Linked DNA regions of Caenorhabditis elegans. The protein of the gene in region 2 purifies or fractionates together with the protein of the main gene of each other region. This does not show direct contact. Each region holds a gene or a part of one and is shown on either strand. Other genes may lie near its edges. The genes, in order: fce-1 and kola-5.

Region 1 (4,293 bases), on a different chromosome or scaffold from region 2:
ATATCTCTGATGAGATCCTGATTCTTCACATCTTGTCCCGAAGAAGTTTTGTAGCCATTCGACTTCCAGTTGTCATTCCATTTGGTGACAGAATCCTTCGCGTTCTTGGAATCAGTGTGGATTCTCACGTGGCTGTCTGGAACATCACGAGCCTGAAAATGCAGAAAATTGAATGTTGGTACGAATGTTTGAAAATTACCATTTGGGTGGCGTGCTTGATGGCTTCCAGCTCATATCGATTGTTGGTTTGTGGTCCGTGTGGATAAGAGCCACTCACATTCTTCGATGTATCTGAAATATGTTCAAATAAGGAACAATTAATTGCACAAAAAACCGTACCACTTGGAACGTGAACTCCATAGCCTCCTCTGGAGCCTTGTTGGCCGTTTCCGAGAGCGGAACCGTCGGTGTAGAAGTCGTACGGCATTTCTTTAAAATTTCAGTTCATTTGATAGGAAAAAAGCATGCGAGAGAGAAAAGAAGAATGAAAACGGAGATCTTAATAAAAACAAAATGATGATATGAATTGTTTCGCAGAAGAAAGCAAACTTCTGGAAATTCCCGGGAATTAACAAAACAAAACAACAATAAAGCGAACATTCTAGAAAACATTTTTTTTGTTCTCCGCGGGTACTGTATTTGAGTCGCGGCGAGACCCTTCTATGAGACAGTTTGTGCGAATGAGAGACCGAGAGATCAGTCTCGTTCCGTTTTAAAATTTTCCTTGGAATTTAATTGTATTTCCAGTTTTTGTTTAAAAAAATTTATTTACTATAGAGAATATTAACGAAATTTAAGTTCAAAAAATGCAATAATATCACATTACAATCATAAATTAAATTATATAAAATACTTTGGCATTCAAGAAACAAGTAGTAAAACATGGGAATTTATTTATTCTTTGCCTGGAAGGCTCTAACAGCAGCTACTCTTTCAACAACTGGAGGATGTGTGTGAGTGCACCATGAGTAGAGTGAGTCATTGATAGGCATCGACAGATTGTCAACACCAAGCTTGGTCAAAGCTCCAATAAGATTTTCTCCGTGTCCGAGGTTAGCAGCAAACTCGTCAGCTCCAAATTCAGCAGAACGGGAGTGAATAACCATTCCAATACTAGCGAGTTGATTGTAGAGAGCGAGGACAAATTGGAAGATGAGCATCATGCCAATGACTGGTGGAGTATCGTGATAGCCGAATCCCTGAAAATTAAAATTTTAAGAATTTAATGGTTTAAATATAATTACTTGATAGAGGGCTTCCCATTTATAAAAGTATCCAAAAACTGCAAAAGAGAAGAACAAGTTGACTTCAGCTGAAAAATTCTACGTTTTGCTGTGAGTTCAGTTAAATCAACTTACTGATGACAAGATTGATCAAAGTGTGCCATAAAGCCCAATGACCCAATTCATGGCCCAGAACGGCCACAACTTCATCGTTGTTCATTCCTCTCTTTTTGTCGTTTTCAGTTTCTTCGATTTTCTCTCCAGCTGCCACATACAATTCATGTACTTTCTCCTTTTCAGCTCCACTTAGCAAAGTATCATAGAGCACAATGCGCTTGTTCTTCCAGAATCCATACATGTAAGCATTGGAGTGAGCCGAGCGTTTTGAGCCATTGACAACGTAAAGTTCAGTTAATGGATAACTGAGAGAAGCAGCTAATTGTTCAATTTTCGTCTTGAGATCTCCATCAGGCAATGGGAAATATTTGTCGAAGAGTGGAGCGATGAAAGTTGGATAAATGGTCATCAAAAGTAGCACAACAACAGAAACAAATAACCAAATATAGACAAAGAAGTATGGTCCACCATTGACAATAATCCATTCAATTCCATAAACGATTGGCATAGTGAGAGCAAATCCGACGAGCATTTTCTTAATTTTGTCAACGAAATAGAATCCAATAGTTTGTTTATTGAATCCATGGGCATCTTCGATAATAAAAGTGGAATATAGATCCCAAGGTAAATCGATGATTGTTTCAATTATTGAGTTTATTGAGAGAAATACAGCCACATGCAATGGATAACTAGCCGTTGCGTACCAAAGGAATGGATAATATCCTCCAATCAATTGTGCCTGAAAATTATTTTTTCATTTAAAGTAAACTTCAGCAGTCACTAACCGTGAGGAGAAGCTGATTAAACCAACTATGGAAGAATCCGAATAAATGATTATCAATTTTATAGTCTCTGGCCTTCTTATAATCTTCTTCTCCAATAAGTTCTTTGACTTCATTGGGACGTTTTACAGCATTTTTATGAGCTCTGAAAATGTTTCTCGTTGCGAAAAATCGGTACAATGAGAACTTACTTGTACTGTCGAAATGTGATGTACTGATCCCATAAAAATAGTGCCCAATTTGTGGCTAAAAGTGCTTTGAATAGACAACTTGCGTCCATTCTGAAGATGAGAAATGTTAGTAAATTATTCTGAAAAAAATTGAAAAAGTAAAATGTTAGATTCGAGTTTAACGAACAGACAAAAAGTTCAAAAAACGTGTAAATTATATCACGAAATATTCATTGAAATTACAGATAGACATCGGGACATCAAAACATGAGCTATTTACAATTTTACACTGAAATTTTTTTTAATTTTAGAAAACGAAGTGAATAGTATTATTTGTTTCTTTTGGAATGCAATTGAAAATAGTAATTAAAAATTATTCAGCATTAAGAAGATCTTGAATTTCAGCTTCCCATGCATCATCGTCTTTTCCTCCAGTTTTTTCAACAACATCATCGTAATCGTTCAAATCATTGAGAATTTCTCGTTCCCATTCTTCATCTGAAAAAGAAAGAAAAATTAATTTTAAGAATCGGCGGTTTATGGTCAAAAAGTGGAACAAATCGAATTAAATTGATATTACTGCGGTAGGACATCAGTCTAAATATTACGTTGAGGTCTAAAGATGATAATTTTGGCAGTATCCAACGTGCATGGGTCTCACCACGCAAACAATCAATTACCGTAAGATGCGGCGAAAGTTATCATCATTAATCCTTTGCAATCAGGGCTGTCGTTTTTTTTTAAATTTAATATTTTTGGACAGAGAATTAAAAAAAAGTTTTCAAAACTGTTAATTTTCAGAAACGAGAAGGAAAAAGACACGCATTTTTTGTTAATTATTTTTGTGACAGCCCTGCTTGCAATCCGCCATTCATTGATATGTACTTTCTTCAAAAAATAAACCGTAAACTTATTCAGCATTTAAAATAACATAATCAAAGTTTTAACTTTGAAAAAAAAACATAGAACGCACCGACACTTGTCAAAGTTAGTTCTCCTGGTGCTGCAGGTTGTTCAGAAACAGTTTCTTTCAATTCTTCCTCTTCTTCATCCTCGTCTTCGCAACTTTCTTCAGATACGGTTTCCTTCACTTCCGGCTCATTTTCTTTCTTTTCTTCTTTAATTTCAGAAGACGATTGTGGAGCAACTTCAGCAGATACATCTGACTCTTCTACCTTCTTTTCCTCAACAATTGGATTAGGCGTCGGTGTAGTTCTTCCCGTGCCTTGAGCAAGCATAGATTGCCGAATGAGCCCGATACGATAGAAATAATTTTGCCAAAATTGATTCTCTTTCACTCTGAAATTTATTTCTCAAGTTTTGAAGAATAGTTGGAGGAGACGGTTGGGGATTTTACTTCAAGTGTTAGAAAATGGAATGCAATAACTAAATATAACTGAAAAAATGTACTGAATTTTTTAATGATTTTTGTTTTTATTTTGCAAAAATTAAAAGGAAATTTGCGCGGGTATTCGAAATATAATTGAGCCATTTATTAATTTTACAACATTTTTTTTAAATTAGAAGTGTTATTAACAGTTATAATGTGTTATTACGGTCCAGGTCCTAACACGTAGAGTAAAATTTCAAAATTACTTTTTAAAAAGTATAATTTAAAAACTCACTGTTTGGGTACAAGTTGGAATCTAACATTCGCAAGATTTGGATCATGTTTGAGTAAAAGAGTTGCCATAGCTTGTTGCTGTTCGTAAGTATATTCACTGTTAGCTGCTGAATCACGGAGAAAGTTTCTTGTGTTTGTTGACAATGACATCATTTGCTTTTTAGCGAGCTCTTCATCTGGAAGTCCTTGCCACGGTAAATCAATATTTCTGAGTTTATCTCTTTCTTCTTGTAATTGCTTCTCAAATTCGTCCTGTTCTTTATTGAGATCTCCAAGCATTGTCTGAATATAATTCTTTCACAATATTTGATTGAAATATACTACAACACTTACATTCTCTATAACAGCATTCTTAACTTCTCCAAGCTTCTTTCCAG
Region 2 (4,873 bases):
TACTTGTCTTTACCTGAATAGTCTGAAGTGCAGTAGAAGCCTGAACTTCACTTCGAGCCAAAGTTGCATCTGGTTGATCGGTAACACAGTTTGTGGTAAAATCACTTAAAATATAGTGCTTTTCAAAAATTGTTTCTCAAAACTAGAGCGGAGAAACAGTTTTTAGAGTAAAAAACGAGTAATAAATAGTTTTTTTTTAAATGAAAAACTAACTTTGCAACATTTGTGTATTTAATGTCCATTTCTGTTGTCAAATCAGTCAAAACGTTAGCCAGTGTTTGGCCAGTTGGTAAATTAGCGGTGACATAACTGCCAATTGTTCTAGAGACAAGGCCATATGTAGTTGGATCGAAATCTGCAGCATATGCAAACAAGAAAGTCGCAGAGTTGTCTTGTGTAGTGCAAACAGCTGAAATTTGCTTTATGTTTAAGGGAGAGATATTCTCAAAGGGTTTAATATTAAAATTTTGTCATAAATTTTTTGGGGAAGTGCATTTACAAAAAAATTGATAAAACCCAATTTGAGCTATGCGCCAAAATCACAAAAAAATTGGAGTGGAAATCTAAATATAAACCCAAAAACGCGTGCGGTACACTTGAAGCAAAGTCATATTAGAAAATTTGCAAATTGAAAAATGTTTTAATTTTCTCCTACACATACCTTGAGATGTGCTAGAAGGCATTTCTGTCGATGTGACAACTGTTGATGAAGCTGATGAAGTCGTGGCTGCTACAGATGTAGCTTCTCCTGTTGTTGTTGAAGAAGCTTCTCCTGTTGTTGTTGAAGAAGCTTCTCCTGTTGTTGTTGAAGAAGCTTCTCCTGTTGTTGTTGAAGAAGCTTCTCCTGTTGTTGTTGAAGAAGCTTCTCCTGTTGTTGTTGAAGAAGCTTCTCCTGTTGTTGTTGAAGAAGCTTCTCCTGTTGTTGTTGAGGCTAAAGGTTCTGTTGTGGTTGCCGCTGCCGTGGTCGTCGTGATCACTGGGACCGGTACACACGCTACTCTTACAGCACGTTGAACAATTGTTAAGTCCACGGATATGTTCAGGAACAATGAATAAGTTTTCGTGGAATCACATTTGATTGTTGTCTGGAATAGAAATGAAACATTGAATTATGGGAGTTGCATTTATGCACATACACTTGGAATCCATTCAAACGCAGCTGGCGAACGCTTTTGAAGCTGCGGATTCCACGAGCGATCAAATGAAGCCGAGATTGAGTTCAATGTGATCTGAGCAGTAGGATTTGATTCCACATGCAGAGCTGGATAAAATGGGACACCCTCCACAATTGCGTAACGAGACGCATCAATCGATGGATTTTCGACATATGTGGTAGAAATCGCAAGATCCAGTGGGCCAGACGCCGGTGCAGCGTTGGTAAATACAATTCCAGTGCATCCACCGCTGGCAGTTGTGATGTTAAGATTTGCGCAATCTGGATTAGTAGGATCGGGACTTTGGAAAATGGCTAGTTGGTTGTCATAAGAACGCAGTGGCTGACGAAGGTGACAAGCAGTAAACAATGGAATAGTTGGATTAGCACTTGCTGAAATTTTTTGTTTTATATTTATATTACTAGATGGTAAAAATCTACCTCCCAAAAATACAAAGTTGTATGGGCCACTGACAACTGGATCAGCAACCACTGGAATTATCTGTCCAGAAGTGCAATCGGGGAATGATTGAATTGAAACGTACTGCGGTTTGTAGTGAGTGAGAAGCACTTGCGAAATTAGCTGGAAACGAGAATTACAGAAAATCACAAAAACTGAATTTAAGACCAGAACTTAAGCAGCCGATATTGTAAGAGCCTCACGAGATCCCAACTGTCAAAATTGAAAATTTTGGGCAGGTTGAAAAATTGTTAGCTAACTGCTGCTCGAAAATTGGTCGAAATAAATATTCCCCTGATAGCGAATACAGTACTTTAATGATAAAACCTAGCCTACAACAACGCACTACAATTTGATATGTCAAAGTGCTTGTAAAACTTCCTTCACTTACGTTAATGTTGTTCTGATCTCCATTTTCAGCTTGCAGTTGAACAAAAAGCCCTCCCGTGATATCCACAAATGTCTTGAAGTCAGATATTTGTTCATCCGAACACGCATTGAACACAATATCACTGATCCACAAAACGTTGATTCGAATCCCGAAAGCCACTGCAATTTGTCGTGCTTCATCGTGGAACTCAGCAAGTGGTGGATGCTGGGTGACGATTGTGATCACTGTATTCTTGAGTCCTCCCTTTTGAATCATTTGGATAAGATTCTCGTAGATGGCCACTTCATAACACCAATAAATGCCAGTGTCTTCGAGATCAGCCAGACTGAAGCTTATGTTCGAATTGATGTTGTCATAATTAAAACTGACTGAAAAGTGGTTTATCTGGGTAACTTCTAAAAAATTTGATTCAAGCAATATTTGATAAATCAGCCGAACAATTTTAAGTTTAAAGATGTAAAATATTGTTAAATATTGTTATAAAAGTTATTTATCATTGGCTTTCAAAAATGTTATGTCAACGCAATAAAAACCAGGATATGTGGGTGGATACATTTTTTAAGATTTCATTGCTAAAACTGACAAAAACTGTTTTTGCTTGGATTGGCCCCAAAAAATCAGCCTATCGAATATCCTGGCTTTTTGCAATGTTTCATGAAATCTTGAATTTATTCTAGTTTCGTGAGCAACATAAAATCGCTTACTGCTATCATACTGTGGTTGATCGATGTTGTCAAGGTAAGGGGTTCCCCTTGTTTCAACAAGATTGTAGTTGTCATATCCGGTTGGATAGGCGTCGAAATGCGCTTCCAATCCCTAATGTTTTCTAGTTTGCATTTTAGAACAATAATGGCAATCATACCTTTTGAATATTTGCATAAGTAGAAACTCCCCAATACTCCGTATATAAATTGATATTTATAATGTTGAAGGAAGTCCCACCGACTTTGAAATGATTGTCAGGTGGCAGGGAGGTTTTCACTGAAATTGATTCGCTTTGTGAAACTTCCAAATTTAAAAGGCTGAACACAAATAATGAACATTTAAAAAAATTTGGAAAAAATACACTTCAATTCATGATTCAATACATACCAGCTTCACAATGAATTCCTAGGTAGCCGGAAGGGCAGATGCAAATTTGTTTGGAAACATCCAAGTATCCTCCATTTGTACACTGACGAATAGTGCAATTTCCATTGTCATCCTTATTGAAAAACGATGGGCAATCATCTGAAAAGACCCCTGAGATCAGGGACAACGCCCCAATAATTAGGGCCGTTTTTTGGAGCATCAACTGAAATTTTTAGTTAATTTATAGCAATGCAAATTAACAGTTAATGTAAGAAAACTGCCAGAAAAAAGGAAAATGATTAAAAATTGATGGTGCAAAGCTAAAATGTACAAAATTGTGTCAGAAAATGGGTGTGCCAACAAAAGTGTTTAACACACTGATAAAATTTTGGCTCTCTCCTTCTCACTGATAAGAATTAAAAAATCGGGTCAGCTTGTTTGCTTAATTATTTATTCGCTGGAATTTTTGATGTTTTAGGGACTAGTGAATATTTCTGTTTGCAGTTTGGAGACGTGGCATTGCTACCGTAACATTCTCAGATAACATGGGACCACGTCTAATTAGTTAAAAAGCATTTCTAATTAGCAAAAACAGGAAAAATCAGTTCTAATTAGCACGGATCCATTTCTAATTAGCAAAGCTAGAAAAAAACCAGATCTAATTAGCTCTGAATCATTTCTAATTAGAAATGGCAGAAAAAACCAAATTTTCACAGCCAGGTGTCATTTCTAATTAGCAATGCTAGAAAAAGCCATATCTAATTAGCGCGGAATCATTTCTAATTAGCAAAACCGAACAAAAAATTATATTTTCTTTTGCATTTTTTATCGGTTTATTTGTTTTATAAAATCTATTTACACAGTTTTTTATTTTATCAGTTTTATTTTCAAGTTGGATATATCGTTCGGTTACTTCTTTTTGTTGTTTGAATTTCGGATCAGAAATTTCACTCAAATATGATATTTTCAGGGAACTAGGGTCAGTCAATTATGGTTTTCGTGAAGCCACTCTACAGAACTTTGTTCTTCGATGTCGCCGCCAACAACGATGTCTCGAGCACCAAGCAAAACAACGAAGCCATGGCGGAATCCCAGTCAAGGAGCAGAGACTCTGCTATGCCGGTCAGTTTCCTTTCACGCGATTCTCGAAAAACCGGACAAATTTATAATATATCCCTGTTTCAGTTGTCAGCTCGGAAATAGCGATTGTGGAATCGAGGCTACCCTCTACGTCTAATCTACATCTACGTCATCTACGTCACGTCACGTCAACTGTCAGCTTCTCGGAGGACTCAAGAAAAGGAAGAAGAAGGCCTACACCATTACAAAGAGGAAAAATAGAAGGTCAAGTACGCCGTCCTCAAGTACTTCAAGGTAAGCTAAGTGGCTATTTCCAGCAAAATCAGTTCTGGCTAGAAAGTTAGGGACGATGAATATCTTGATCTGGTGCCAAATCCAATTTGCAATATTTTCAGAACGACAAGAACGGCAAGATCACACGTCTTAGCAAGGGATATCATGAGCCATCATTCGGAGGGAAGCCTTCATGACCCAGCTCACCACACTGCGGATCTCTTCGAAGATGTCCAAACATCCTCGTCATTGACACCGCTACTGTCGCTGCCACTTCTGGCGAGAAGGGAAGAAAGAAGTAGACCATTAAATGTTAAATCTTTAACCTTAAATCAAAATAAAATTATTGATTTTTATTATTCTTTGTTCATGAGATGATTCATAACACTTTGGAATTTCGTGTAAGCGCTTTCATCACACATCAAACGATTCTCGCTGCCTTGAT

What was found.
Region 1: the proteins of kola-5 (region 2) and fce-1 fractionate together in Caenorhabditis elegans (co-fractionation; one large-scale study listed by BioGRID). This does not show direct contact.

Annotation. Positions count from the first base shown.
Region 1 is NC_003279.8:9,710,317-9,714,609, forward strand, and holds fce-1 (CAAX prenyl protease 1 homolog), read right to left. Parts: upstream 2,404-4,293; 5' UTR 2,403-2,403; coding exon 2,314-2,402; intron 2,268-2,313; coding exon 2,126-2,267; intron 2,080-2,125; coding exon 1,359-2,079; intron 1,313-1,358; coding exon 1,245-1,312; intron 1,200-1,244; coding exon 891-1,199; 3' UTR 736-890; downstream 1-735. Other genes in the region: rnh-1.3 (RNase H type-1 domain-containing protein), read right to left, coding at 1-152, 200-291, 340-427; C16C2.4 (BSD domain-containing protein), read right to left, coding at 2,666-2,790, 3,266-3,591, 3,918-4,210, 4,250-4,293. UniProt on the Caenorhabditis elegans protein: Proteolytically removes the C-terminal three residues of farnesylated proteins.
Region 2 is NC_003282.8:17,319,220-17,324,092, reverse strand, and holds the start of kola-5 (EGF-like domain-containing protein), read right to left. Parts: upstream 3,299-4,873; 5' UTR 3,296-3,298; coding exon 3,097-3,295; intron 2,986-3,096; coding exon 2,867-2,985; intron 2,821-2,866; coding exon 2,709-2,820; intron 2,373-2,708; coding exon 2,005-2,372; intron 1,737-2,004; coding exon 1,595-1,736; intron 1,547-1,594; coding exon 1,137-1,546; intron 1,086-1,136; coding exon 662-1,085; intron 410-661; coding exon 214-409; intron 105-213; coding exon 14-104; intron 1-13.